Linked DNA regions of Tribolium castaneum. The protein of the gene in region 4 binds, or shares a complex with, the protein of the main gene of each other region. Links are inferred from orthologs where the notes say so. Each region holds a gene or a part of one and is shown on either strand. Other genes may lie near its edges. The genes, in order: Prp5; RNA-binding motif protein, X-linked 2; spliceosome-associated protein CWC27 homolog; Sf3b2.

The links.
Region 1: Sf3b2 (region 4) and Prp5 share a complex: the UniProt entries of both Homo sapiens proteins name them as parts of the 17S U2 SnRNP complex. The link is inferred for Tribolium castaneum from reciprocal best matches to the Homo sapiens genes SF3B2 and DDX46.
Region 2: Sf3b2 (region 4) and RNA-binding motif protein, X-linked 2 share a complex: the UniProt entries of both Homo sapiens proteins name them as parts of the minor spliceosome. The link is inferred for Tribolium castaneum from reciprocal best matches to the Homo sapiens genes SF3B2 and RBMX2.
Region 3: Sf3b2 (region 4) and spliceosome-associated protein CWC27 homolog share a complex: the UniProt entries of both Homo sapiens proteins name them as parts of the minor spliceosome. The link is inferred for Tribolium castaneum from reciprocal best matches to the Homo sapiens genes SF3B2 and CWC27.

The regions. Positions count from the first base shown.
Region 1 is NC_087399.1:720,659-728,270, forward strand, and holds part of Prp5 (probable ATP-dependent RNA helicase DDX46), read left to right. Parts: coding exon 1-87; intron 88-135; coding exon 136-974; intron 975-5,410; coding exon 5,411-6,460; intron 6,461-7,612. UniProt on the Homo sapiens protein: Component of the 17S U2 SnRNP complex of the spliceosome, a large ribonucleoprotein complex that removes introns from transcribed pre-mRNAs.
Region 2 is NC_087396.1:22,562,665-22,569,872, forward strand, and holds RNA-binding motif protein, X-linked 2, read right to left. Parts: upstream 4,021-7,208; 5' UTR 3,882-4,020; coding exon 3,868-3,881; intron 3,819-3,867; coding exon 3,032-3,818; 3' UTR 3,028-3,031; downstream 1-3,027. Other genes in the region: LRP1 (prolow-density lipoprotein receptor-related protein 1), read right to left, coding at 428-512; mitochondrial tRNA-specific 2-thiouridylase 1, read left to right, coding at 1,432-1,513, 1,560-1,725, 1,773-1,957, 2,007-2,233, 2,434-3,027; TBC1 domain family member 31, read right to left, coding at 4,146-4,768, 4,816-5,445, 5,633-5,987, 6,034-6,469, 6,516-6,664, 6,712-7,144, 7,191-7,208. UniProt on the Homo sapiens protein: Involved in pre-mRNA splicing as component of the activated spliceosome. As a component of the minor spliceosome, involved in the splicing of U12-type introns in pre-mRNAs.
Region 3 is NC_087396.1:19,897,587-19,905,168, reverse strand, and holds spliceosome-associated protein CWC27 homolog, read left to right. Parts: upstream 1-4,083; 5' UTR 4,084-4,187; coding exon 4,188-4,229; intron 4,230-4,279; coding exon 4,280-4,821; intron 4,822-4,867; coding exon 4,868-4,977; intron 4,978-5,030; coding exon 5,031-5,244; intron 5,245-5,292; coding exon 5,293-5,734; 3' UTR 5,735-5,773; downstream 5,774-7,582. Other genes in the region: uncharacterized protein LOC658443, read right to left, coding at 26-755, 803-984, 1,033-1,253, 3,072-3,126; transmembrane protein 209, read left to right, coding at 6,148-6,161, 6,210-6,347, 6,397-6,572, 6,622-6,774, 6,822-7,139, 7,188-7,582. UniProt on the Homo sapiens protein: As part of the spliceosome, plays a role in pre-mRNA splicing. Probable inactive PPIase with no peptidyl-prolyl cis-trans isomerase activity. As a component of the minor spliceosome, involved in the splicing of U12-type introns in pre-mRNAs.
Region 4 is NC_087396.1:14,195,779-14,204,169, forward strand, and holds Sf3b2 (splicing factor 3B subunit 2), read right to left. Parts: upstream 5,336-8,391; 5' UTR 5,189-5,335; intron 5,065-5,188; 5' UTR 5,030-5,064; coding exon 4,930-5,029; intron 4,879-4,929; coding exon 4,652-4,878; intron 4,600-4,651; coding exon 4,418-4,599; intron 4,367-4,417; coding exon 4,165-4,366; intron 4,112-4,164; coding exon 3,935-4,111; intron 3,362-3,934; coding exon 3,129-3,361; intron 2,992-3,128; coding exon 2,637-2,991; intron 2,583-2,636; coding exon 2,338-2,582; intron 2,291-2,337; coding exon 1,993-2,290; intron 1,946-1,992; coding exon 1,880-1,945; 3' UTR 1,806-1,879; downstream 1-1,805. Other genes in the region: eukaryotic initiation factor 4A-III, read left to right, coding at 400-547, 600-935, 990-1,720; uncharacterized protein LOC103313715, read left to right, coding at 5,702-8,245; mRpS18A (large ribosomal subunit protein mL66), read right to left, coding at 8,325-8,391. UniProt on the Homo sapiens protein: Component of the 17S U2 SnRNP complex of the spliceosome, a large ribonucleoprotein complex that removes introns from transcribed pre-mRNAs.

The DNA.
Region 1 (7,612 bases), on a different chromosome or scaffold from region 4:
AAGTAGGTCCCGAGAGAGGCGCAGCAGGTCCAGAGACAGGAGAGAGCGTGACAGGCGTTCGTACAGTCGAGACCGAGACCGTCGAAGGTTTGTTTAATTTTCACTTTTTCCTGGATTAAAGTTGGAATTTCTAAGAGGTGACAGTAAGGAGAAGCGCAGTTCTGGCAAATCCAGACGTCGGGACAAGTCCAGGTCTCGCTCCAGATCCACAGACCGGAAGAAGGATGATTCAGGTCTGGCTTTTGATCCGGCGAACCTTGACAAGGAAGAAGAGCAAAAAAAGTTGGAACTTGAGATGCAAAAACGCCGCGAACGCATTGAGCGTTGGCGCGCCGAACGCAAGAAGAAAGAGGAAGAAATGAAGAAAGATGCACCAAATGCAACCACAACAACTGACGAAGCCACTGCCAAAAAATGGTCCCTAGAAAACGACTCCGAAGACGAGGATAAAGACAAAGGCGAAACGAAGGAGGATCAAGTCGAGGAAGAAACAAACGGGGAAGCACCGCCACAGGAAGAAAAACAAGAAGCGAAAGAAGAGAAAAAAGAAGAAGAAGAAGAAGAAGAGGAAGTCGATCCTCTAGACGAGTATATGAAAGGAGTTCAAGAAGAAGTGAGAAAGACTCACAAACTTGACATGAAAAAGCCCAAAACCGAGTCCGGGAATAAAAAAGGTGCCTTAGTTATTGTAACAGGGGTGGCCAAATCCAAGGTTAATAAAAACAAAGGTGAGTTGATTGAGCAGAATCAGGACGGTCTGGAGTACTCCTCTGAAGAGGAAATTGAGGACTTGAAAGACACAGCTGCGAGTATTGTTAATAAGCAGAAGAAGGAATTGGCGAAAATTGATCATAACATGGTTAGATATTTACCGTTTCGGAAGAATTTCTACGTAGAAGTGCCCGAAATTGCCAAGATGACGCACGAAGAGGTGGAGGCCTACAAGGAGGAGTTGGAGGGGATTCGAGTCAAAGGTAGGGTTTTTGAGTTGAATGCAAGGTTTTTTCTACTACTGCCTAAATAAAGCAAAAGTTGTTTTATTATTTAACACCCAGTGTAGTACAGTATAATCGTCGATTATTATTAATTAATTTTTAATAATTCGTGGAAGAAAATTGTTTTTCAAACAGTCGACGATAAATAATGATTTTCTGAGGCAATGTTTGTTGACTTTTAATGTTCTTTATTAAATAGTAGGCATTGGTAAAAATACATATAAAAAATAATAGGGGGGAACAAAAATATCTTAATAAAAAAAAGAACAATACAAAAAAAGAACACAAAAGACGGATGAAGAGGCGAAGTTGTGACACAGGTGTTCCACTTAATATTTAATATTAATTATTAAAAATTATAAAATAAAATGAAACTGAATAATTAATAACTAAATAAAAATTGTCTATCGACAAAAACAAAGAAACAAAATAGAAAAAGAAAGAAAATTTAATACAACATAATCGGAACCAATTATGGCAATATTTTGGAATATTTATTGTTCGGTTGACTATAAAAATACATATTCATTAATTTATAATAATTTGTCGGAAAAATATTTCAAACAGTCGACGAAAATTGGTAAATTAATTGGAAAAACTAATTTATTTAATAATTATTTGAAACACCGTTTGTTGACCTTTAATTAATGCTTTATATTAAATAATAAGTATTGGTAAAAATACATATAAAAAATTATAGAAGGATTATAAGAAAGAACAATATAAAAAAGACAATAAATGGACGAAGAGGCGAAGTTTTGTCACAGATATTCCACTTAACATCTTAAAATTTAATATTAATTATTAAAAAATATAAAATGAAAAGAAACTGAATAACTAATAACTAAATAAAAAGTGGCAATCAAGCAATAATAATTAATTAATAATTAATAATAATTATTACGAAAATAACATTCTTTAAGAATAGATTTTTATCTATTATCAATCCCAGACTTTTAGTCAAAGAGAAGCTGGAAATATTTTTGAAATAAACAGCTTTCATCTATTTCTGTCTTAATATTTGTCAACATTACATAATCATTCCTTTTGTAAGATCAAATTTCGATAAACTGTGATTTTGTGTTTTGAATTTTTTTTCTAAACACAAATTAAATCACATTGTCGGCCGGCCATTACAATTATTCATACACATCGAAGACGAAATTCTAGTTTTATGGGCGGGACCTGTTTATCGTCTGATTTGTCCCCGACTAATTTATCTACGGCACAAAAAACTGCAACACGATTAAGGTGTTTGCCATTGGTTATTGATGGACTAATGCGCTCCCAACTACAAAACAGGCCAATCACAAGGCGATTAAAAAGGCGACAAAAACTGGTTTTATTATTGGGTGCTACTTTCCCTGATTTCTAAGAATTGCTGCTGAAAATTGCAAGCTGAAACTACAGAGCAAACAATTTAGCGACCAAACATTTACTTTTTGTAATTGATTATTTGGTTAAGAAATGATGTTTTTTCGCGCTTTTGCTTTGGATGCCGGTCTCGCATCGGCACCCTTGATGAGAATTAAAACAATAAAACCTTTACGTCCCAATAATCGGATTTATTAGCGCGTCGTTCCATTATTAAAAATCCATACAGCTCCTGATGCAAACAAAGTCTTAAAATTCCTGTTTCGTGTTCAATTTTATTGCTTCGTCATGCGTAACACTGAGATAAAAGGGGAGACGATTGTACGATTCTCCAACCCTTGATTGTGTTACGTCTTTATGCCCAAGTTAACTAATTAGGGTGCGATAATACGGCTTTTGCCGAAACTAACTTTGCTTACAACTATCGTACGAATCGATGAGTCTGCTATTGGGAAAAAATTAATTAAGAGGAGTTTTTTTATAACCAGCCAGACGACACAATGCGGATTAAAGTACGATGTTCAGCAAGAGATTAAGCTTCTGTACTACAAACTTTAATAACACAATTCGTGCAAGGTAAGCCACTCGAAGCTCATACAAAGCAGCACAAGTGCTTTTTACGATGATAAAATGTTGATAACGTTTGCTAACTCCAGACTTTATTAAAAAATATAGTTTTGGAAAACTGTTATTCTGCGTACATAATTTATCAAGGGATGTCACCCTGCTGTGCAGACATTAATTTTTGGGAGCGTGGTAAAGAGAAATTCCACAGCTAGACATTATTTGGTCTACATATAAATTAGAGTTTATTGATCCGAGATGCCGAGCTGTCCCGGACCGTAACCGGAAATATATGTGTACTTGCATAATATAAAAATTGTGTTTCTTTTTTTAAATTCAAGATTAGTTCGATTTGTTGCTCTCGATTTTCGAAACGTAAAATTGATACCATTGTTGGAAGAGGGAAAAGAAAATGTATTTGGCGATTTATTTCCGGTGAATGGAGCGATCGTGGAAATCTACATTTTAACAAAACATGCGGTGGAAATACGAGGCTTTTGTTGGAATTGGAGTATTCGCCAAAAATGGAAGATTCGAACCACGCGCTCGTTTATTTAATTGTTTTATTTCTGTTTATTTAGGGGAAAAATTTCGGTATACAAGAGTGTAGACAAAAAGCGTTGTTTTATTTTAAACACTTAAAATATTTTTGATTTTGTTAACAATTATGTATTGCGTAATGAACGTGCTAAACAACGCTCAGTTTATTTAGGTGAGAAACTTACAAGCTTGAGACTTGTCATATTTTGCTTCTTTTGGCGAAATTTTGCTCAAAAACTGAGGAAATTAGTGAAATAGTCAGTTGGTAACATTGGTTTTATTTGATTTCTGTGCTTTTGAGGCGTGTTTTTTAAAGGTTTTACAAATTACTTAATTTAAAAACGAATAAATTGACTGAAATAAGATAAAATTAGTATAAATTTTGAGCGAATTTGGTGATTTTTCAAACTTCTTTTTTGAATTTTTTTAGTGAAAAATCTTAGTGTTAACTACTCAAAAAAAAGCAATTCTTTTATTTTTTTTATCAAATTTTGTTCATTCTTTGGTTTAGTTTGAATAAATTTTTTAAAAAATTTGCGTTTCTAGCTGAAAAACGGACTAAACATTCAAAAAAGACAAAAATCCTTTGATTTTCGACTTGATTTGGTGATTTTTTGGTTAGTTTTAGAGACATTTTGAAACTTAAGATTTTTACTCGAAATCAGAATATGGTTTTCGACCAATTGCTGTGTTTTTTTGCTTTATTTTGACGAAATTTTGCTCAAAATCGAGTTAAATCGAAAAACTGACAAGTTGTTACAAAATAAATTAATCTGTTGGTTTTTTATTCAATTTTAGGCGAATTTTTCCAAAAAAAACTAGTTTTACGTTTGACTGAACAACCAGAACTTAAAAGACTCAAAAAATGCAAAAATAAGGTAGTTTTGGATCAAAATTCATGATATTTTTCGATGTCTTTTAGCAAAATTTTGGAAAATAACCGAGATTTTAGCTCTAAAACGTCTAAAACGTCTAAAATGTGCGAGAAAGTCAGAAAATAACATTACTTTTAACCAAAATTGGTTGTTGTAAAAGTTTTTGTACAATAACTGAATCTGGTCGAAAGCTGTTAATAATTTTTTGAAATCTCAAAAACGTTTTTTATTTTTATTTTTTATTCAATTAAATTGAGTGAATTTTACTTTGTTTCTCACAAGAAACTTGCTGTATTTACTTGTTTGAAAAATATAAAATAACACTTTTTTTCCATCAAGCTTTATAATTTTTTGGCTTCTCTTTGAAGAAATTTTTCTTAAAAACGAATTAAATAGACTAGAATAACATCAATTTTGATCAAATTTTGTGATTTTTCAGCCAGTGTTGGTGCAATAATTAATCGAAAAAGTTTTAATAGTAATAATAATAATATAAATAATAAAATATACCAAAAAAGAACAAATTTGAGACAATTAAATTATACAAAACATTTATAAATTACGAAGAAAAATATTCTAGAAGCTTGATCTTTACAGTTTTAGTTTAGAAATTATTGAAGAAAATATCTAAATCTATTGTAATATTATTATATAATTTAAAACATTTAAATTTACGTGCTTTAATTCTCGAAAAAGATAATAATTTTGGACAAGTACTTTTATCATAATTTTTCAAAATAGTTATGTTTTTGGCTGGAATATTTACTAGAATTTTCGAAAAACAAAACCAAGAATTATGTGGTTTTTGACCTAACTTGGTGCTTTTTCTTTTTATTTTAGCGATTTTTTTTGTTTTTTGATCATTTGTTGAAAAATATTCTTGTTCAAAAATGACTTTAATTTAGCAAAAAAGCTGAATGTTTTTTATTTTTTTTTTGATTAAGAATTTCACTAATTTTGATTTTTTTTGGGGATTTTATACGTTTTTGTGTTCCTCTTCAATAAAAAAAAATTATACTGAGTACTTCATTTAACTCCTTCAACAAATGTCCTTTTTTGCAGGCAAGGGCTGCCCTAAGCCCATCAAAACATGGGCCCAATGCGGCGTCTCGACCAAAGAGCTCAACATCCTCAAAAAGCTCGGTTTCGAAAAACCCACCCCAATTCAAGTCCAAGCCATTCCTGCAATAATGTCCGGTCGTGATTTAATCGGAATCGCGAAAACCGGAAGCGGAAAAACCCTTGCTTTCCTCCTCCCCATGTTCCGCCACATCCTTGACCAACCTCCGCTGGAGGAACTCGACGGCCCTATCGCCATCATAATGACCCCCACACGCGAACTGTGCATGCAAATCGGCAAAGACATCAAAAAATTCACCAAGAGCTTGAATTTGCACGCGGTTTGCGTTTACGGCGGCACTGGCATTTCGGAACAGATAGCCGAGTTGAAGCGCGGGGCGGAAATTATCGTATGTACCCCGGGACGCATGATTGATATGTTGGCGGCAAACGGCGGCAAAGTCACGAATTTGCGACGCGTTACTTACATTGTGCTTGATGAAGCCGATCGGATGTTTGATATGGGGTTCGAGCCGCAAGTGATGCGGATTATTGATAATGTGAGACCTGACCGCCAAACGGTGATGTTCAGTGCGACTTTTCCGCGCCAAATGGAGGCGCTAGCCAGGCGGATTTTGCAAAAGCCGATCGAGGTCCAGGTTGGTGGACGCTCGGTTGTGTGCAAAGATGTGGAACAACACGTTGTTATTCTGGAGGAGGACCAGAAATTCCTTAAATTATTGGAGCTGTTGGGTCTCTACCATGAGCACGGGAGTATCATTGTCTTTGTCGATAAGCAGGAAAACGCCGATATTTTGTTAAAAGAATTGATGAAAGCGGCGTACAATTGCTTGAGTCTTCACGGTGGTATCGACCAATTCGATCGCGATTCGACGATTATTGATTTTAAGTCGGGGAAAGTCAAACTTTTGATTGCTACTTCGGTGGCGGCTCGAGGGCTAGATGTCAAGCATTTGATCCTGGTGGTTAATTACGACTGTCCTAATCACTATGAAGATTACGTCCACAGGTGTGGTCGGACAGGACGTGCAGGTAAGTGATTAAAAAACCTACAAGAAAAAAGCTCACAAAAATACCACTTACCAATGTTTCAAGTTAAAAAAAAAACACTTCCAGTTGTCCAAAGAAAAAAAAATAGATTTAAAATTTTATTGTTATAATTTTTTTTTTTTAAGTTTTGCAACCTACTGTTTAAGTGAAAACTTAGAAACTGAAATAGTAAAAAACTCAAGACGTTTTTGAGCAATTGAACAATGTTTTATCTTCACAAAAGAACTCACAGAGAAATACGCTCATTATAATAAGCTGTATTTATTGTAAATGGATATTACCTTTCCTCCCTGGTTTCTACTCATGAATAAAGCATTTTCTGTCAATTCAAAAGAGTAACTTTATTTTCTGATCTAAATAACAATTTAAAATTGGGAGGAATTTTACTTAATATTTTGATACTTTTTTTAAGAATTACTCAAAACGTAAACTACGAATATTCTGCACTAATACAATGAAGGAAATCTTACTTTTGTTTTAAACGTTACGTTGTTTTAAACGTTGTTTACTGTTTTAGATATTACACTTCTTTATTTTTCTGGTATAAGAAGAAGAAATAAAACAATGAAGAAAAAAATAATATTAATAAAAAAATACAATCAAACATAATGGGATTGATTTTTTTTGTTCTTGACTTATTTTAGAAGCGGCAATTGTTTTTTATAAATTTTTTGTTTAACTAATATGATATGTAAACACAAAAAATAAGCAAAAAACAATTACTTTTTTCTAAATAACAATTAATAAAAATTAATTAAATAATAATTTAAAATAGTATTTGTATAATACTTTTACTAACTTTTTTATTTTATTTTTGATTTTTTTTGAATTAATTTTTTGATTTTTTTATTCTTACTTTATACTTTATACTTATATACTTTTATGCTTTTTTATTTTTTTATACTTATTTATTATAAAAATGTGTATTTACTAAAACATTAATTTGTTAGCTATTATTAAAAAAAATAAAAATGACGTCATTACTCTAAAATGAATGACGCCAGAAATGCCTTTATGATGTCAAAATGTACTATTTCAAAAAATTAAATCGACTTGTTCGAGGATTTTTTCGAAAAATAATTTATAACATAGTGCGTTACTTTTAATTCATCTGTACAGTCGAACAAAATGAAA
Region 2 (7,208 bases), about 8.4 Mb from region 4:
CATTATGCAGTGTTGAACTCATTTCCGGCAAGACAATGAAATCAATCAAAAATATTAGTTTTTAATTTACAAACCTGTTGTAAATGTTTATAAAACCAGTCTTTAATCATTTTATTGTTCAATTAAACCTTTGATCAAAGTGGCCCGTGATTTTAAAAATTTGGTTGTCAATATTGGAACAATAACAAACATTGCCAACTGAACTTCAAATTCACGGCCCACTTTGCTCGGAAATTGAATTGCTTCATAAAATGCAGGTTTCGGTAAAAACCCTCGACAATTTTTGCTACTTCGTTCAGGAACTTTTAAGAAACAATAACTCAAACTTTGAAATCATTAACAGCGCTGATAAATATTTATTTAATAAAGTCGCCGTTCGATAAACAACACGTCCTTAACCTCCGGCCCTGTCCCACCCCTCACTCACCTGTTTTGGTGGCCGGAGCGGTGGTGGTGCCCCCTTGGGCCCCCCAGACCATCATCAGCAGTCCCAGCAAAAAATCGCACCTCATTGTGCCGGCACTCTAGATTCACTCACTTTTTCACCAACATCGCAGAACAAAGCGATTTTTGTCAATGGTCATCGCACACAATCAAAGGAAATTCGCGGTTTTTGTCCGGTTTTTCACACAATTCATTCAAATTAACGAAGTTGGAGCAAGAAACGCTCGATGGACAGCACGCCGTCGAGCTATCGCACTCTGAAAACAAAAATAACAACAATCCAAACCCGTTCAACTGGAAGCTGGCCGCGAGATAAGTGCGGAACGTCGACAATTGGCGTCCTTATCTCACACAAAAGGGCCGTGATCTTTTCTCTTTATCTAACGTGCGGATTGGTTCAAGAAGTGAAGAGCGGTGACGGTGCTGACGCCACACGGAAGTGCATGAAAGGTGGCTAAAGGTGGGTGTCCCACACATGCCCCCTAAAAGGCCATGGGGGTGAACACAGGGGTGGATTTGCGTTTTTTTACCAAATCTAAAGCTTCAAACTCTGACACCATGCGCAAATTCGTGGCAATTTAAATTGGCAGTTCTGGATTTTTTTGGGAAACATTTATTAAATCGTCAACAAGGCTTTGCCATCAACCTGACAGTTTATCACCTGTTTCTTTTCTAATATCTATCAAGTGCAACGACAAGTCTACAGTGCGGTTTTTCTAATATTGTAATTTAAAAAATAATGTTATGCAACCAACATTACACCCGCGCCCATTAGGTTTTTTTTGCACTTTACGTACAAGATTACAAAAATGAATATCGTTTCCCTGTTATTGGACACTCTAAACAAATCATAATTTAAATAATTATTAAAACGTGATCTCCGTTTTGGCGCATTTTTTCGCTTGTTACCGCTGATCAACCCAGTTGTGCTACCGCTGACTTTTGTCGAATTTTGTTGGTTATGTTCCTTTAAACGGCGAAAAAAGCATGTTAAACATCCGAAAGGTGGTCGTGGGCATATCTGGGGGCGTCGATAGCGCCGTTGCGGCACTTTTATTGAAAAAACGCGGTAAATCACGTCAAAAAATTCGAATAAATTCGAGTCAAAGTTCTAGGTTATGATATACAGGGTGTTTTCATGCAAAACTGGGACATTGCGGACGAAAAGGGCTACTGTTCGGCTGACGCTGACTACAAAGACGCTGCTCTAGTGTGTGACAAACTGGACATTAAACTAACTCACGTCAATTTTGTCAAACATTACTGGAACGAAGTGTTTAGGTATATAATTAAATTCCCCGCCAAAAAAGACATTATTCGAATTTCAGCAATTTAATCAAAGAATATGAGACCGGCAACACGCCAAACCCTGACGTTCTATGCAATCGTAACATTAAATTTAATTATTTTTACAAATACGCGAGAAATGAGCTAGGGGCTGACGCTATCGCGACCGGACATTACGCAAGGACTAGTTTCGGGTCTTATCTTGAACATTATAACCCGGAAAAGGGTCTGTATCCAGTCAAAAAAAAAAACAATTTATTACAACAAAAAAACAGGGGTAAGACTACTAAACGCAGTTGATTGGTTCAAAGACCAAACGTTCTTCTTGTGCCAAGTCAATCAAGAAGCTTTGCAACGTACAATGTTCCCATTGGGCGATTTAATGAAGCCGGAAGTGAAAAAAATTGCAAGGGAAAACGGACTTGAAAAAATCGCAAGGAAGAAGGAGAGTATGGGGATCTGTTTTATCGGCAATCGCAAATTTCAAGACTTTATTAGAGAAGTAAGTGATTAGTTCACAGCTTCCGTGATTGGCCAATTATTTCTTACTTTAATTTTTGTTGTTTTCGAAGTTTTATAAATTTTTTTTAATTAAAAAAAATATTGTAGTCAAGCACTAACGTGGCTCCCTCTAGGTGAAGGGAGGCCTGTCATTGGTCAAAGAAGCTTTGCACTGGTCACTTGACTAAACATTTTTTTCAGTATATTGATGATAAACCGGGCGATTTCGTGGACGTTGACACTGCGAAAGTCGTGGGTCAACACAATGGGGTGCACCAGTGGACTTTGGGGCAAAGGGCGCGCCTCCACAGCTACGAAAGCCCTTATTTCGTGGCCCGGAAAGACGTAGACAAGAACATAATTTACGTAGTCAAAGGGACAAAACACCCGTTACTTTACACGAACATAATTTTGACCAGTGAGCCCCACTGGATCCACTCACAGCCCCCTGATTTACAAAACGGGGTTTTGGAGTGCGATTTCAAGTTCCAACACACCAAATATTGGGTCAAATGCCAGGTGTGCCAAACAAGTAAAGGACTGATTATTAAAGTGAATAGGTACAAGAGGGCCATCACTCCGGGACAGTTCGCTGTCTTGTCGAAAGATGGCGAGTGTCTCGGAGGGGCTCGAATAATTAACACGGGAGTTTCACACTTCTCGCTATATTATTTGGAGAATAATGGTCTAGGGAGTGTCTCCCACATTTTGAAAAAATATGTCAATGTGACGCAAGGTGAAGACGAGCTTACTGATAATGAAGATATGAAGCACAGAGCTGTAAATAGATGTTAGTAAATCAGCGCTTTTTCTTATTCGGACTCCGCGACCGCTTCCTCCTATCCTCGTCCTCTGACACGCTGTCTTCAGCGGAGTAATCCGACCCTGACTCGCCCTTCTTCTTCTTTTTCTTCTTCCTATCTGAATCGGATTCGCTGCTGTTTTCGTCCGACTTCTTTTTCTTCTTCTTCTTTTTCTCCTTCTTGTGTTTCTTTTCCTTCTTCTCTTTCGTGACAACAGGCTCCGGCGGCGCCTCCTCGTCCACTTTCTCCTTTTTTATCGTGTAAATGGGCAAGCGCTCAGGCAACTTGATCTCAGAATTAATCTGGTCGGCCAGTGTTTCGCGAAAATCGTCAGGGTCTGTTTTAATCTTCACTGGCGCTTTGACAGGAACTTGCACAGGGACGGCCTTGGGGGCACAGCCCTCATCGTACAGTTTCTTCGTCTCAGCGTCCGTTTTCTTGCCCTGTTTGGGCACCTTGTAGTTACTGACGTGGTCGACTCGTATCGTCCTGTTCAAGATTTTGATTCCGTTGAAATTATCAACGGCCAAGTCGGTCGATCTTTGGTCCTCGTAGCACAGGAAACAGAAGCCCTTTGACTTGCCCGAGTCCTTATCCCTGATCAGGTTTATGTTCACCACTTCGCCATACTGCGAGAAAATGCAAATTATGTCGCCCTCGGTCAGGTCGAAGGGCAAACCGCCGATGAAAACCCACGCACTGTCCCTGTATTGGTCATGCCAGGAGGTTTTATTACCGGTGTAGAGCTCCTGTTCGCTCAGTTTCTTCACATTTTTCATGTTCCTGGAAAGACAACTTCGCAAAATTGGGGCAAAAAATCGACAATACTTACGTTAACGGATTCATGGTGCGTGATTGTGGGGCCTCTGACCCCGAAAAACATGAACAAATACAAATAAAACAAATGTTCAAAAAATAGGTTAGGTATTTGACGTACGTTTGACGTTTGTGTTAATTGCGTTAAGGTGCATTCACACCGCGGCTGGAACTATTAAGGCGACTTCACATCGGTTTGTAAATTTATTGCCGTTTAAAAACATATCACAGGTGCATATGAGATCATAAAACGTATAAATAGAAACGATACAACTTATAATAAAATTGATTGTGCTATCCGCCCACTTCCTCACTCCTTAAATTGGCAAGTAGCTCGATTAAATTGGCAATTTTCAACGCCAACTCTTTGCTTTCCGCTTGCAGGGCGACAACGCGTCGATCGGCATCACTGTCACTCCCGCTCTTTTGTTTTTCCAGCTCACTTTCGACTTTTTCGATTAGAGCATCCATGGCTTCAAGCCCCGTTGTCAGATTTAACATCTTCAAATGTTTGCGGGGCTCTTCACTACTCCGCACAAAATTGATTTCGTTCGATAATTGTTCCTGTTGTTGATCAACTGATAGTTTTGTACTTGTGACAACTTCATCAGTGTTTAGTAACTTTTCGATTTTGTACTTGTTTTTCAAAAGTTCGGCATAGTGGAAGAGGAGTTCGTCCTCGGTCTTGGTCAAGGCGTAACCTTTCTCGCCTTTTCGGAACCTGACATCGTCCATAATCGACGATAGGTATTTTCGGCGGCTTTTCAATTGCTGTTCCTTCGCTATTTGGTGTCTTAAGGAGGCCAAAATTTTGTCTTCTTGGTGGAATTTTTCGCGCAGGTTGGCCACCCTTTCGTAGTACTCCTGGACACGGGTTTGCTCCTCCAACAATTGATTACGAATCGCGCGTTCCATTTCTGACAATTTATTTAATTAAAACCCCAAAAAATGTACAAAAACTTACCCAAAATTCGCTTATTCTCTTCTTCCTCCACTTCGAAATTTTGCAACCGCTCCAAACTAATCAATCGGCGTCTGAACAAATCAACCTCGTCTGTTTTCAACCCCGCCATCTCTCTCTTCATCTCGGCCTCTTTATCCGACATCTCGATCATGGTTTTGGGGTAATCACAAAAATTGGGGTATTCCCCCAAATTAATTTTCTTGAACATGTTCAAATATTGCCGTGGGTGCACGGCCTCGCCCGTCTTGGCCAAAATGTGGTAACTTTTCGTTAGCAATTTTTTAACATCTATGGGATGATGCGTTTTGTAAAAACACCGAAATTGTTTATCGTCTTTAAGACTCAAAATGGAGGTTCGTTGTAAAATATTGTAAGCCACGACTCCACACAGTAGAAACGAAGGTTCGTTTGTTAAAACATGGTCCCAGAAAATTTTCCAGGATGGCGCTGTCAAAACCTCGGAAAATGCAGTTCGCAAAATCGGCCATGCGTACAATTCGGAAGAGACTTTTTTTCTGGTTAGGAAGTCCAAAAGTTCGGGGTCGTGTACCATTAGGACGTTTTCAATCATCGCAAGTATGTTGATTGGAGGGAGAGGGAAGTACTCGAACCAGAATTGACACCAGTTCACTGCGATTATTCACTCAGTACCCATAGTGTGGTCCTTCGAGCCGGATCAACAAAAATATGGAAAAATCTTAATTAGAAATATTTTGTTGTAGCAAAAACAGTTTGAAAACAATGAGATTTTAAATATTTTCAGTTTTAATAAGACTATTCCATAATTTTGCCGCTCATTGAATAAAAAAACACTTACAAATTATCGTGCAAACGGCCTCAAAACACGTCAACGGCTTGTTAATAAAAACCTTGACAAAGGGGAACACAAAAAGTGGCAAATAATCCACGTTGAGGAAGAAGGGACACCACGTGACCAAATTATCCAACAGTTGTTTGAGGTTTTTGAGGTTTCGCTTGTTTTCAAGCGGGTATTTGCGGCACAAATCCTCAAATGAGACTATCATTCGGTGGTTGATAATCCCATTGTAGAGCTCCCTATTATTGGGAAGTGCCAACAAGTGTTCCCAAATTTTGGTCCGGTATGAATCGGGAAACTCGCCACACTCTTTCAATATCATTCTCAATTTTTCAATCTCGAGAATCTCCCTAATCTGACAATTTGACAAGTTGTTTAGTCTGCGGTCCGCCTCAACTCACCTGCTCCTTGACTATGCCCATTTTCTCCAAACATCGCTTCAATTTGACTTTTTTTCGCGCACTTTCTGCCCGAACGGCCTTCAGTTTGAGTGGCACAACCACGTATTGGGTCACATCGTAGATATTGACGTCACCGGACGATAAAACACAGGCCATATAACTCGCCGAAAAATCGTATTTTGAAATTTCGTAATTTGCAACTAATTCGCTCATTAGAACATTTTGGTGGCTGTCGTAGAAATAAACAGTGCCACGGCCTGATAAAATGGCTAAAATTTTATTCGAGCCGGCGTCGTTTGGCTGGGGGATGAAATCAATGTGTTTCAGTGACTGGATGTGTTCTGGCAATGTTATAAATTTAAATAGTTTGAAGTTCGAGAGTAGGAAGAGGGCGAGGTGTGGTGAGCGGCAACCAATCACCATCACTTTGCCGTCCCTTGAAAAAAACATAAAAAAACAATTGACAAAAACCATCGTCATACTGTGTGAACGTGATGTTTTTCACTTCGTGGTTGAACCACACCAGAGGTGGTATTTCAGTCTTCATCTCAAACGTGCCAAACTGCCAGATCTGGATCACGTCGTCGTTGAAACATGTCAAAATATAGGAGGAAACGGGAATGAAGCACACCTGGAATTTTCGAAATCAAATTAATTCTAACGATCGCAAAGACGTACATATTTCAGGGCGCAACTGTGCTGCAAACTGAGCACCTGCAGCTTGCTGTTGGTGTTCAAGTCCCACAAAATCGCCTCACTTGTGGACCCCGTGAGGCACAAAAAGTTACTACCAAACGTCATGCAATTAACAGGGCTCTGGTGGCCCCTCAACTGGCCGCAGACGAAGCCAGTTTGGGCCTCAACCACGTACACAGCGCCACAATGTGCCCCCACTAAAATTTCGCCCTCTTTGAAGTGCGAAAACTTGACCATAACGCAAGTGTTTGTGAATTTTGGGATGTTCCAGAATTTGGTGCTCGTGAAGTCGATCACAAAGATGTTGCCCTCGTAGTCGGCCAAGGCCAGTGTTTGACCATTTTTGCTGAAACAGCAACTGAGAAAGCGGATCTTCTGCGCGTTTCTGTCGGTGTGGTGGATGTTTAGCACTAAGCTGAAAACAGGGCAATTAATTGGTCCAAGGGGCAAGGGCCCAATACCCGTCTCTTTGGGAGGGT
Region 3 (7,582 bases), about 5.7 Mb from region 4:
CATGAGAAAAGTAACAATTACTCACTTCTTCCATTGCTAAATTCCGCTCCTCATCATCTTCCGTAAAATTCGACTTCATGGCGTTCGAAATCGTAATTTGCCTGCGTCTTCTCGCTCTGTCGATATTTTCGTCAAAACTAACGGCAGGTTTTGAATAATGCCTCCCTTTCACATCAAACTTTTGCTCATTCGTTTCGTTACCACCTTCATTTTTAAACTTCTCATTAAGCCGATCCAAAATCGAATTGGTTTTGTTACCCAGCCCTTGCAACCTCTGAACGATATCATCGAGCGCCTCTTGGGACTGAGTTTTCCCGAAATGTGGTGCCTCTATTTTGATATTTTTGGTCTCGTCTTTGGCAATTGTGGAATTTCTGTGGACGTGCATGTGGTTCTCCTCAGGTGTAGGTTTATGTTTCTTCTTCGTTTTCACTTGAAGAGAATCTAAAATCGGTTGCAGCATTTTGGGATCAGTGATGTCGGCTTCGTCCACTGCTTTTTTAATGGTGTGGCTTTCGCTGCTGTTTTTGTGAACAGGGTGGTGAAATTTCACGTCTGGCCTGTGCCGTTTCATCATTTCGGGCTCGTTAGTGCGAGTGGTGTTATGTTTGGGCTTGGGTTTAGGCGGGACGTAACTTTTTTCCTGAATTGCTTTCATCAATTCGTCGAGTTCTTCCGAGGAGTTGTCGCCAATGTAGGCACATTCGTGTAAGTGTTTGTGGCCTCTGATCACAATTAAAGAGGCGCCAGGCCATCTGGAGGCAAATTAGTACTCAAAGATAAACGCTTAAGCTGTTTGTACCTTACACAGGTCGAGACTGTCACGGAAGAGCCTTGCAAGAGGTAGAACCCCCAGTATTCCTTCGTATCATCTTCTAGCTTTAAATGGCGAACCATTGTCAATGGTTTTAATTGGGATGATAAAGTGGGTGGATTGTTTAACAGGAATGCATTGAAAGTTGTGTTGACTTTTACTAATTGTCTCTAAAAAATGTTAATTGGTTTCATTGTTCGGAGCAAGTGGCTATTTACTTGACACCAAGTTGTTGAAACCTTGTTATCCAAAAGCCTCATGTCTGACATTGCCAAAGGATAAAGTTGGTGACCGTAGACATGGTATCTCATATAAAGAGGAAGCGCTATCAGTAAACTTGGGAGAAAAATGCCCAATACACATAGTCTGACTAAACGGAATGGGCCTTTTAGGGTCGTTGGACGCTTTTTGCACTGACTGTGATTTTTTAAAGGACACTCTGTAAACAAAATCACCTTGGTTTACTCCAATGCAAGTTTTATCTCGTCTTACAAAAGAAATAACTGGACTTTAGTCTGGGACAAAATTAAACAACTTATATAAGTGCGTCAATATTGCAGGGTACAGATTAAAACATTAACCAATTATTTTACACCGCTTTGACGTAATTTGCAAAACTTCGCACACCTTGTGATAAATTGGGTTCCTGATACGATTAGTTGTTGCTCCAAATTAAAAAGCGATAACAAATTTATATTTGGCAATAGCCAAGCAGTCAAACAAAGATTTAGTTGCAAAAATTTTTCCAAATACTTTAAACGTTCAAATAATGCATAATAAACCATTGTTTTTTATCAGTTTTATTAGCATTATTTCTTAATAGTCTTAGCCTTATTAAAAATGTACAATATTCATTGTGAATAAAATACACAGATAAAGCGTAAAATAGAATCAAATACCAGTCTCAGTTTAAACCAGTTTGATAACTAATCACTTAAAATTTCTGGGAAGAGCTTGGCACAATTCTTACAAATCCACAATGTGTATCATCCTTGGCTAGAATATCAAATTATTAATTTAAATTAATGAAGCTACATTTATGCATTTAATTTATCAAGTTTTTAAATATTAAAAAAACTATTTTTCGTCTAATAAGAGTTTTCCAAGAAATCTTATCTAATGTTAAAATATTTGAAACAATATTTATGCATAGTTCAACTCAGCTAAAATTTATATCAATATGTCTGTTATGATGTGTTGGTTTTTTCCGAACAATTTGTTTTGTTACGGTCGATGATCTGCTGTTGCTATTATTTTATATTTACTCTAAGTTTGTCCATTATCTATTGTGAAACTATGTTTTCTCACGAAAATTAACTAAATATGATACAGTTGATAAACAAAGAGTCTTCGAAGAGCTCCATTTAGTTATCTAATATCTCTAATTATCTTGATTTAAGTCACTATAAATATCAAGCAACATAATTTTATGTAACTTATTAATTAGTTGGAAAAGTTTGAAACTTTGATCAAATTATTAGAAAAATATTTCTTATTTTTATGCAGAGGTTCATGTCAGGTCTACTCATCCAGAACTCTGTTATCAGTGTTTAATATTTGTTTTGTAATTTATAATTACAGTGATAATTCGATACGTATTTTTGCAGAGGTACAAAGACGTGGCCAATCAATCAATATTTGACAAAGATCCTGCGTAAATCAAGTCTTAATAATAATTCTAATCGATTTAAAAATTGGTGGGATTGAGGACGAGATTATTTTTCCATTATTAGTTATTTTTGACACCAAATACGTGGGTATTTGAAGCCGGATCTAGTTTTTGAAATTGTAAAAATAATAGTACCTACCACAGTAGTATTTTAGTTTTTTATTTTGGTTATTTGGTTAATAAATTCAAACTGACCCTGAAATTCTATTAACATCTTGCCACATGCCACCAGAATTATTAAAAAATAAATATTACGTTGTCGTAAATAAAACAAAAAGCCGTAAATACAAACAATTAAACACCGTAAAATATGTACAATAAAAAAATAAATTTCATTTCAAACATGCTACAAAACGATTTTAATTCTCTCCAAGAAATACTTTATATTGAACAAAATAGTGTTTGATGAGAATGAGTTTAATTATATGCATGTTAATTGGGCGATAAGACTGATAACTCGTCCGAAGACAATGCTATGAGAAAAGAGTTTAATTTTAAAACGCACAATAAAATAATTCTCTTGAAATAATGCCAACCTGTCAAGCCAAAGTCCGGAGAATAATTCCGCCGAAAAAATTCGCGCATTACCTTGTAAAACCGTAAAAATTTTCATTTGTATCGCACTTGTGCCACATACTTCCATTGCAAACACACTCACAAAAACGCTCTTTACAGTCCAAGTTCATTGCATGTTCTGACCCAATTATAACAATAACAAATTTTCGAAATTGTTTATATTATGTTAATTAAATTGATAACAATTTGAGCCGATTCTCTAAACATTTGGGCAAATAAATCAGCTATATTTACCTTCAACTAAAGTTCCAGACTCCAACATATCTCTCCGCGACCAAACAACAATAACATAATATTCACACGTTTAGGAAGTCCTCGCAGACAGGTGTATACTCATATTTATAATACCAACACTTATCTGTGAGAATTTTCTGTAAACTTTTATCATTGGATTTCTTTATCTTGCGTGAAACGCGCGCTGTGGCTCAATGGTGATTCTCCCCGCTTTTAGTCGAGAACTAATTCTAATTTTAGTTGGACACAAGTACTTGAATTTCGAGTTCACTTTTAAGCTAACACAGTTTGACAATATATTTAATTCAACAAGCGTTTAGTTCTAATCTGGAGAACGTTTGATTTAGATAAGTCTGCGATAGACAGACAATATTGATATCATAAGTATAACACAAAATAAACAACAATTAGTTACTGCCTAATCTGTTTTAGTTTTCACTTTCCGATTATTTTTCACTGTCACCATGTGGAAAACTAACGATAAAGGGGAAAGTTCAAGTCCAATTCCAGAAAATTTAAATTTGACCTCATTGTTTTTTTAATTCTTTATTGTCGCGCAATTCTTACTATTATACGTATTTATTCAAATCTTAAAATAAAAAGATAATAATAGCATCTGGCGCTCCTTCGTTTATTTCCTTATTTATCCTATTGAAAAAAAAATTGTTATGAAACAATTAAAACAGTGAAGTATTTGAAAAAAACTGAACTCAATTCATACACAAAACCATGACTTTGAATTTGTATTTTTTTTAAGAACAAAATTTGAAAAACCAAATTTTAAATTGTGACTAAGGTGGCGAAGCTTGGCACTTTAAACACAACCAAACTTCGTAGCTTAACCTCATTCTTTGACACTTGTCAAAATATAATAAACATTCTAAAGTTTTAAAAATGAGTAGTGTTTATATTTTGGAGCCCCCAACTTCGGGAAAGGTATTTAATCGTTCGTCTTACGAACACTACAATCAAATTTTTCGTCTCAGGTGTTGTTGAAAACAACAGTTGGTGACATAGACGTCGAATTGTGGGCAAAAGAAACGCCAAAAACCTGCCGCAACTTCATACAATTGTGCCTTGAGGGCTATTACGACAACACTATCTTCCACAGGGTTGTTAAGGGCTTTATAGCCCAAGGGGGTGACCCAAATGGTGACGGTACAGGCGGAGAGTCAATCTATGGAGAGCCCTTCAAAGATGAGTTTCACCAAAGACTCCGCTTTACGCGAAGAGGGTTGCTTGCGATGGCCAACGGGGGCAAGGACGACAACGGGTCTCAGTTTTTCTTCACCCTGGGGGCGACTCCCGAATTGCAAGACAAACACACGATTTTTGGGAAAATTACCGGAGACACGATTTTTAATATGCTCAAGCTTGAGGATGGGTTAATAAGGGACGAAAGGCCGATCTACCCTCACAAAATCATTAAAACGGAAGTTTTGAACAATCCATTTGCCGACATCCAACCCAGGCTTAGACAGGTTGAGGTGAAGGAGAAGAAAAAGAAAGAGAAAAAGCCAGGAGTCAAGTCAGTCAAATATTTTGTGTAATTTGTTGTAAAATCATTGTTGTAGGAATTTTAAGTTATTGTCGTTTGGGGAAGAGGCTGAGGAAGATGAGGAAGAGTCAACGAGGGTCAATGAAAAGTTTGTGGGCAAAGGCAAATCCACACACGATGTGTTAGGTACACAGTTCAAATAATTGGTGTGGAAATGTTTTAATTAAATTTAATTGAAGATGATCCCAAATTGAGCTCTAAAACGGAGGACGTAGATGAGGAGAATGATGACGTGGAAGAAGTTAATCCAGAAGAACAGTTAGAGAGCATCAGAAAGAAACTAAAAAGAGAACACAAAAAACCTGTACCAACTTCCACAACAACGGCGGAACCGATAGATACATATGAGTCATTCCTAGAGGAAGAGAGGCGCGAGAAAAAGAAAAAACAATTGTGAGTGACTATTAATTATTTTTCTATTTTCGATTAATTTATTTACAGTGAGGAGATCCAAAAAGAAATCCAGAACGTTAAAAAGGAATACCATAAAAATAAGTTGAAAAAGAAGGAAGAGGACATAATTGCAACCGAGAAGAAGGTCCAAGAAGACAAGACAATACAAGAGTACAAAGACGAGTTCGATAAATACAAAAATAAAAAAGACGCATTACCTAAAAAGGGAGCTGGGAGAGAACAGTTCACTTTGAATTTGTTGGAAAAGTTCAAAAAGAAGATACAGTCAATGAAAGACGGGGAAGAGAATGAAGAAGACAATGAGGAAGAACAAGCGTGGTTGAAGCACAGACTGTGCTTCCAGGACAAAAACCCAGTCTTGGCAAAAGACGCCAATAGAAAAGATGACGATTGGTTTGAAATTTACGATCCTAGAAACGCTTTGAATAAACGACGACGTGGAGAAACCGTGGAGAAGTTCAAGAAATAGTGTTGTTTGCTATATTAAAAATAAAGATTTGTAATTTTATGCGACCTTTTTTTTCCCGCCTTATCCTGGTGTAGCAAAGGCTCCAAAGAGCAAAAACTTCAAATAAACGTAAAGTTCGAGTTTTTTACCTACATTTTACCATTCTAGCACTCGCTTTAATAACAATCACATTAGTATTATTAATGACTCTACTATAGTTTGTGTTAAATTAATAAATTATTATTAATTAATTAAATTATTATTTTAGTTGTTACATATTATAAGACTCTATGCGCGTAGGATTATATGAGCAGATGCGCGCGTTTTCGGAATTGAGGTTACGTTTTTAATTTTGTGGGACCGGTGTTTGATGTTAAACTAGTATGAAAAATTAATGAAACTTTTGTGTACGTGAATAGACAATAGTGAGAAGCATGAGTGTGTGCACGTAAGTAAAAAACCATCAGTATTAAGAAAAACAGCTGATTATTTTTAGACCAAATCGTAACGTTTTAAACAACTCTTTTGCACTAGAACGGAGCCTTTCCGTGAATAAAACACGGCGAACTGTGCGTAAAAGCTTCATCTGGGGCTCCGTGAACCTCCTTATACTTGCAGTCCTTCTTTATGATATGTAACAAACTGCTCACTTAACCTTCTTTTTCCCATAACTGTGTTTTTAGAGCAAATTCATGTCCTTTGTACACTGATATTTACGACTATATCAAATATGCGTTCGTTCTGATAGTAAGCATAAATCTCTTGTACTATGCTGCAAAAATTATGATCTCAAATTTCAATCATGAGCAAATACCAATCACTTTGGAGCAGAAGAAACTGTTAGGAATCAGTGATTCAGGTTTGGGTGCGGAACTTAGAAAAAGGGGAGTGTTAATTATGTTTTTTAGACCCAAATTTTAAAGTTGTTGATAAGTTACATGCGCCAACAGCTCAAACACCTTCACATTCGTTTTCAAATAGTCCTAGTCCTCCAAGTTCGCCACTGTCCAGCACTCCGATGAACATGACTGCGAACAGCTGGAGGTCCACTCCCAATGACAGTGAGTTGTTAAATCAGCAACTCAAAACGATACAAAAAATATTTCAGGTTTAAATTACTCATTATCATCACCTTCTTGGACTTATCATAAAGTAGTTTCTGGCCCTTCGCCTTCCTCATTTTCTTCCAACAGCCCCATTCAATATAGGGACACATCGGGGATCGAATTTATCCAAGACGAAAAAGACTTAGATACGTATTTAAAAGAGTTCGAAGCTAACACAAGTGTTAAAAATTTGAACAACCAGACGCAACAACCTTCAAATTTGTTGAGTTCGTTTTGGAGCCACCCTGTGACGAAAACGGCCAAAGACATGTCCAGTTTTTTGAAACGTTGTACTTATCAACTAGCCACACAATCACCTAGTCAGTTTTTAATTTCGTCTTTTAGTTTTTGTTAACACATTTTTTTAGCTAATCTCAATTCAAGTAGTCCGAAAAATATAATTGAAAATAAAAGTTCGCCTACAGCTTTCCAAACGTCCGCTTTGGCTCACTGGTCGAGGCTTAATATTGACATAGTGTCTTTAACACAGTGGAACGAGAATTTACGCAAATGGATTTCCCAAACCATTTTAGAAAGACTGATCAAAGAATTTGATAATATTAATGAATCTTTTGAGAAACATGGACTGACGGATATTAAAATTGGCCAAGTGGGGTTAGACAGGCTGAGAAAGACTGCACAAGTCGCACATGTTACCCATTTTATTCCAAGTCTACCAACCCTGATACCGTTCTTGGAAGTCACCTCTAACCAAGAATATTTGGAAAAACGGATAAGAGAGTTGGCCAAAGGGGGCTGCATG
Region 4 (8,391 bases):
TGTGTGCCATCTATGGGTTGCTACAGTAACCTATAAATTGTATTTTTTTAACAGTATGCACAGGCAACCAATTATACAAGACAATCTTGTATATTGCCTACTATTAAGTGGACGCCATATTTTTGTCAAATGTCAAAAAACGCTAAAAGACGTAGCGACTCGCGTGCAAACAACATTAAACGGGCGAAAAAGTGTTTAAAAGTTAGTAAAGGTGAAAAATAAGTGTTTTATTTCTCTCAATACTACAAACAAACCAGTTGGGGACGTGCAAGTGGCCCCAAAAATGCAAACACCTTTGTGAAAGACAGGTGCCCCAAGTGTTGTGCTTCAGTGAACTGGACATTCAATTAAATCATCTAAACTTTACTTTAACACACGTTCTAATTTCTGACGGAGGCAATGGCTGTCGCAAAACCTTCAAACCGCAATGCGGCTTTCGAAGACTTGTCGAACGTTGAGTTCGAAACCAGCGAAGATGTGGAAGTCATCGAGCAATTTAAGAATATGCACCTGAAGGAGGAGCTCCTTCGCGGTGTCTTTGCATATGGTAATAGGAAAATGTGGGTCAGTGCGGCTCGGATTGAGGTCATTGCTTTCAGGTTTTGAGAAACCATCAGCTATCCAACAGAGGGCTATCAAGCCGATAATAAAGGGCCGAGATGTTATCGCTCAAGCCCAGTCAGGTACCGGCAAAACGGCCACATTCTCGATCGCTATTTTGCAGTCGCTTGACTTGCAAACGCGGGAAACCCAAGTACTTTGCTTGTCGCCAACGAGGGAGTTGGCCGTGCAAATCCAGAAAGTTATCCTGGCTTTGGGGGACTTTATGAACGTGCAGTGTCACGCCTGCATTGGTGGGACCAATCTGGGAGAGGATATCAGGAAGCTGGATTATGGGCAACATGTTGTTAGTGGAACACCTGGAAGAGTTTACGGTACTTATAATTATCTTATAAATAATTTCCCCTACCAAAAAACTTAATTTTCAGACATGATCAGACGGCGCGCCCTTAGGACCAGGTCCGTCAAAATGCTGGTTTTGGACGAAGCCGACGAAATGTTAAACAAAGGCTTCAAGGAGCAAATCTACGACGTTTACAGGTTCCTGCCGCCCTCCACTCAAGTCGTGTTGATTTCTGCGACTTTGCCCCACGAGATTTTGGAGATCACGTCGAAGTTCATGACGGACCCGATCCGTATTTTGGTAAAACGTGATGAATTAACTCTTGAAGGCATCAAGCAATTTTTCGTCGCGGTTGAGCGTGAGGAGTGGAAATTTGACACACTTTGTGACTTGTACGATACTTTAACCATCACGCAAGCTGTTATCTTTTGCAACACTAAACGCAAAGTCGATTGGTTGACTGAAAAAATGCGCGAAAACAATTTCACCGTGAGTTCCATGCACGGTGATATGCCCCAGAAGGAGAGAGATAATATTATGAAGGAGTTCAGGTCGGGACAGAGTCGTGTACTTATCACGACCGATGTGTGGGCGAGAGGTATCGACGTCCAGCAAGTCAGTTTGGTCATTAATTACGATTTGCCGAACAACCGTGAGTTGTACATTCACCGTATTGGGCGATCTGGCAGGTTTGGTAGAAAGGGTGTTGCGATTAATTTCGTCAAGTCGGACGATATCAGGATTTTGCGGGATATTGAGCAGTATTATTCCACACAGATTGACGAAATGCCGATGAATGTCGCTGATTTAATTTAAACGAATAACATTTTTTATGTCCTTATATTATGTAAGAAGTTTGTGTAATAATTAATTAATTAATATGGGAAGTAATAAACGACTATGATTTTTCCTACTCCTAATATTTCTCTCGCCAAATTAAAATCAGAATGACAAATATTCATACCAGAAAATGCACTAAAACTTGAATTCTTTGTATTTTTTCGTTTGTTTTGTGTCCTGTTGTTGGCGCTTGCGTTTATTCTAAAACGAAACAATTAGGTAAATCAACAAATTACACAATATGTTACCTTTTGTTTGGCGACGTGCTCAGCTAACATATCACTGAGATCTTCCTTCTGCAGCTGTGACTGGTTTTCCCTCATTTGTTGTTCGTAACGAACCGCCATTGCATCGCTATCCATATCCAACTCAGACGGATCAAGAGCCAACTCAACCATTCCTTCCTTGTCCCCTGGTTTGCGACTAGTTGCAGGGGCTGCGCCCACAGCAGACATGTCGTAAACGTGGCTGCTCCCCATCATGGAACCACCTATTCTCTCATTGCGTTTTTCGGGAATGACATGATACAAAATCGGGTTTTCACCCCTACAAAACAATTTAAAATACCCCCCTAGAGACAAAATAATTCTTACTGTTCCATTTCGCTCTCGATTTTCTTTTTCCTCAATTCTATAGCTTCGGGTGTTTCCATGCCAGTTGGCACGCTTGTGAGACCACTAGGTGTCACCAAGCCCTCAGCTGGAGTAACAAGACCGGATTCGTCAGCGGCGTTTTGTTGGTTGTCTTGGTCTTCCTCCTCTTCCTCATCCTCCTCCTCTGATTCGGACTCGAGCTCGCCCCAGAGGGTGCGATCCACGGAAGGGTCCTCACCAATGTCCTAAACATTGATATTTGAACAAAATTCAATAAAACAATATTATAAAATACTTACATCTATGTTGGTAACATTTGTTCCAAACACATCACCGTACAATGGTTTTCCATTTTCGTCCACCGGTGGTTTTCCCCACCCACCGGCATGGTACCCAAAGGCACAACCATCAGGGATGGGGGCATTTAATCCCGGAATTTTCAAGTTGGGGTAGCTGGGTGGGGGACCATAACGTTGCATTGCAATCAACCATGGTGGGGGTACTTTATTAGCGTTAGGGCCCACAGGCATTCCTAAGGCCGTTCTTAATTCTTCTGATAAATCTCCAGGCTTTTTTTCCTTCAATCTGGTTTCAAACTCTTTGCCCTCGTAATAAAGGTCCCCATGGATGGTCATTTTGGGTTTAGTTTGCCACCTAACAATAACAATGAGATTATAAAAAAAATTCTAAATAAACAGCTGTCTATCTTTTTCAATTATTCCCAATCTCTACGAATACACAATTACAAACAATAGCAATTTTAGCTTTTATCAAAAATAAAAAAAACGTACTTGAAAAATGCGTCGTGTAATTTTTGATAATCAATATCGATTTTTCCAAGTTTGGGTCTGGTCTTTTCCCGCATTTTAGCTTTGAGTGTTTTGGATTCATCCTTATCTTGCAATGACGCACGCATTTCCATGATTCCAGTCCTTTTAATGAAATCTGGAAGATTAAAAGGTGGTTTCTCTATACCACGTTTACCTTGCAAGTACTTTCGTTTGAAACACCAATGACGTGGTACCTGAAAAACACATTATTCAGCCAATTGCTAACTCCGCATATATTTTCATCTGCTTTATTATTATGAAAAATCTGTTAAGTTTGTTCCAAAACATCACTTTTTAATAAAAAATTCAAATCCTTGCTTCTTATGCGTTCAGTAAAATGTTTAGTTTGGAACAAAGTTCGTCTAAAGAAAATAATAATTAATAATGCTACAGAATTCTATATGTGCGCAAAATTAAGAGTTTTCAAATTGGAAGTAGTGACGAAAATTATTTTTCCAAAGCTTACGACTTAATTCTATTCTTAATAATAATTTAATAAAAGGTATTCTCTTTTTTTATTAATTGTTAGTAGTTCCTGAATTTTGTTAACATTTTCGTGTTATAATAAAATTGTTACAAAGCATAATTTTTTGTGTCCCATCCGTAACTAATTATTTATAACAACTTTTAGAAGTGGCAAAATGAATTTAAATTGTTAATCCATCTTTTTTTTTTAATAAGCCATTTTTAAAATAATAGTTATGTGCCGTCCGTAATCATGGAATGGCTGCATTACTTTTAATTTTTGAGAAAATTATAATCGTTACCTGAACGGTATTTCTGTGAGCTTTCAATTGGACCAACAATTTTGGGTCCCTGGCTGTTACATCGTGCATTTCTACAACGTCTGGTCTACTGACTAGTTGTTTAAGCTCGGCGACGCTAAGTCGCGTCAATTTTTTAAGCTTTCTTTTGGACATTTTTGACTTATCGTCAAGCTTTTTCTGAAAAAAAAATAGATACATATTTTTTATTCATAATGTAATACAACACTTACGTCGTCCCCATCTTCCATTTCTTCCTGAAAGTGATCTCCTATGCTATTTAACATTGATTTACTTGACAATGATGTTGGCGTTGCCAGAACTGGGGGTGGGATATCATGCTTTTGATCAGTTATTTTAAACACGTCAAAAATGCTATAAAACTGCCGGTATTGTGGAGCCAGTTCAAGAAGACTAATCGTCTCTTGGACGTACCTTTAATTAAACTCATAACAATTTTGTCAAACAAATAGAAAAAACACCTACTCAACTTCCACATCTGTATTCCCATCCTCTTGCCCATCCTTTTTCTCCTCCTCTTCAGCCGCTTTATTCTGTTCATTCTCCCTGTTTTTCTTGTTCTTCTTCCTTTTCTTCTTCTTTTTATTCTTACTGATTTTGGTGGTCTCTTTCACCTGACTCTCTTCTTCATTTTCAACCACGGGTTCCTAAAAAAACAATCGTTATAACTATATTCATACAAAAAATTAAAAAAGCTACAATATTGTCATCTTTCTCCCAAAGCGCCTCTCTAGGAGTCTGCGGCTGTTGAACTACTGTTTCCGTTTCTTCTCGTTCTAGTTCACGCGCTCTCTGATTTTTTAACGCCAACACCTCTTCCAACACTTGAGGTAAAACAACTTCAGTTGGTGGCGTCTCCATCATCTGATCAGGAGGATCCACTTTTAGGGATAGCAATGAGGGGAGTTGTTTTTCACCACCAACACCTGAAATAGTCCAATGCGATATAAACAAACTGGTTGAAAACAATCAATTACCATGTTCACCAGCCCACCCTTGCATACCTGACCCAAACATCCCTTCCTGGTGGGGCACAGGGTGCTCCGGGACACCCTCTTGTAGCTGATCCGGATTCATTTGTCAGTAGAATCAGTGCTTGTTGCAGCCGTAAGCTGAAAGGAGACGGGATTATGGAATTGTTCTAACACTAAAAAGCACTTTTCTCAATTTGATATAACCTCTTTCTCATACTAATTTCTTAAAAAATGTTTGAATCAAAGCAAGAAGCGAACTTACTATAACAGATAGTCTGTTAAATTTTATCTACAATGAGGAAAAACCGCAAACTTTTAATATTATTAATAATTTATTGCGGCATTCAGCAACGTTTCGGTCGACATTTTTGTTTGGAATTAGAGCGAATGCGACCGTAATCGCGACAGCTCGATTTCCTGCAAAAGCGAAAACATTTCCCAAAATTTTCATACAGAATAAATCAAATGTAGTAGTTATTTATCCAGTTAGTTACAACTTTCTCTATTAACATCTTGTAAATACAATAATTTATAAATATTTAATCAATTTATTTTTCAAACAAGATGCCAATCTAATTTGGACCAATCACGCATCTCAATCTCAAATGTCAGATTCAAAAAAACGGTTTTGTTGTCGGTTTGTCATTTGTGTGCCTTGTTTACTGTAAAGTTACTATAAAAAGCGAATAATTGGATTTAACACAACGTTAAAGGTAAAAACCGAGTTTTTTTGATACGAAAATTACATAAAAATTGTTTTATAGCTTGCATTAAAATGTCAGTGAGGTCCAGCAGACGTTTAAATAAAAAACTAAATCCACCTGAAATGGAAAGCACCAGTGGCCCCTTAAGCAGTGCCAAAGCAACAAGAAGTGGACGAAAAGTCAGAAAAACGAACGATTTGCTTTTCTTCAGTTTTAATGCTTCTGCAGTGGAAAAAGAAGACGAAAATATTAAGCCAACGTCGTCAAAGCATAATAAACAGAATTTGCCTCGTTTGGAGTTCGATGAGAGCGGGAAAAGTGACAAAGGAAGCCCTTTTTTGTTCAAGGAAGTTCAAAAAATCTCGCCGCCACCTGTACCAAAAAATAAAAGAAAAATCGTCAAAGCTAAGAGAGTTCTTAGGAGTACCAAGCAATGTGAACTGGAAGACAAGTGCAATGATGAGACATTAGATCTCACTACAAAAAGTTTGAAGGAGAAATCTTCCGAAAATTCTGTAAATCTTGTGAGTGATGGTGAGGGAAGTTCACGTTTCATCACAGTCACGGAGAAAATGGCTCAAGATGGACACGTGAAAAAAGAAAATAAACATGGCAAGACACCAAAGGTCAAAAGACAGAGTGGGAAAGGAGAGTTTTCTTCGTTTAGAGACATTGAAGATTTTAAATCTCTTGAAGAACCGTCAGAAAATTGCAAGAGCGTAAATTTGAGCCCTTTAAATGAAGATGAGGGAAGTTCAAGCTACATTGAAGTCAACGAGAAGAGTACACAAGATGGACGTATTACAGAGAAAAATAGTCCTAGCAATGGTACTTTCCCCAATTTTGTTGCTTCAAGCAAGACACCAAAGACCAAAAAACAGAATTTGTCTTCTTTGGAAGCGGACGAAAGTGGGAAAGGAAAGTTTTCTTCGTTTAGGGAAATTGAAGATTCAAAATCTTTTGAAAATTGCAAGTCTGTAAACTTGAGTCCTGTGAATGAAGATGAGGGAAGTTCAAGCTACATTGAAGTGCAGGAAAAGACTACTACAGAGAAGATCAGTCCTACCATTGATTTGCCCAAATTTAATTTTGTTGCTTCAACGGCGAAAAAAGAAAAAAAATCTGAAACATCAAAGGACAAAAAACAAAATGTGCCTGTCATTGAGTTGGACGAGAGTGGGAGCAGCAGTGAAGAGTCCTTTTCATTTAAAGAAATTGAAAATTCCGCCAAGCATTGTGAGGAAAATGATGAGACATTTAATGTTGAAACAAGTAATTCATATTTGGATCGAAAACCAATTAAACAACCGTCTGAAAATTGCAAGAGTCAAGAAAACGACAGTAATGTGCAAAGTGAACAGTTGATTTCAAAGATTGGCCAAACCACTGTCTCTGAGCAATTAAGTGAAAAGAAAGAGTCTTTTGGTTCAAACTTGATTGTCAGTTTATTGCCAAGCCCCATATCACCTTCAACACAAAGTTTAAAAGATGAAGCTCCACCGTATTTGTCTGTGCATTCAGCTGAAGACCCAATCCAGCCGTCTTTGAATGGAAGCAGTGATGAGACCTCTATCAGAAGGAGAACGTACGAACTGGAAAATAGTGTTAATGATATATCACTCTTGAAGTCCGTATCAGGGAAAGATGGAACCAAATCGTCCCTTGGTGACGATAATTCAGAAGAGTATGTAACGCCCCAAGTGATGTTTTCTAAAGTTACTCAAAGAAAAAGGTGGAATAAAGTTAACACCACACCGTTTCAAATTAAGGGCAGTCCGAGGTGGATTAGCAGTCCAAGACCGTCAACCTCCAAGTCGACACCAGGAGTTACAAAGCCACGAGTTTCGCCAAAATTAAAAAATCCCAAACTCTCAGCGAAAAAACCCCTTTCTAATGTCAAAGTGCCAAACTTTGCGGCAATTCACAAACGAGCAATGGATAGGGTTGAAAGTATAGTTGAATACAAACAGAGAAAGGAGGAAAGAGCAAAGATGTTAATATCAGGGAAAAAGCCGCAAAAACAAGCGGAAAAACCCGAGAAAGTAGGGAGAAAACAGTTGAGGTTTGCCCCAGACACTGCTGAGAAGGATAAATCGATGACGTTTATTCCCTTGCCCTCAACACCATTGCCAAAGGGTGTGAAGAAGAACTTTGATGAAAGTCTTGCGAGTGAGAACGAAGAGGAAATCCAACCTCCTGTCTTCAAATTTCCGAAACCAACTTTCGCGTTCGAGACTAAAATACGCTCGCCTGTTTTCAAGTTCACCAAACCGACTTTTACAAGTGAAGAGAGAAGTGCACTGGAAAAGAAAATTAATAACCTTGCAAGTCACATCCCACGAATGCAGAAAACCAATTTCGGATTCCTTAGGCGTGAAGCAAACGATGAAAGAAGAGCCCTGGTGGAGAAGAATTGCAATATTAATAAATTTGGAATTTCAAACCCATTCCACTCCAAAAGTGCAAAAGCACAAGTCAGACTTGAAGAAATCAAAAGTGTCGCCACTAAAAGCAAGCCAGTTAAAAACACACTTGAGGCTCGAAAATGCACAATCAAGGGGGTGAGGTCGAACCGAAGATTTGAATTATTGATGAACATGAGGAAGGGGAAGTAGGTTTAGTTTTTGTTTTACATTTTAACGTTTGTACTCATTACACATTTAATAAAGATTCATTTAACGGCACTATATTTCCTTAACACTTAATTGTTGATTCATCAAAATATTTGTTAAACTTCTTCCACAATGGCCTTTTCTTTGGG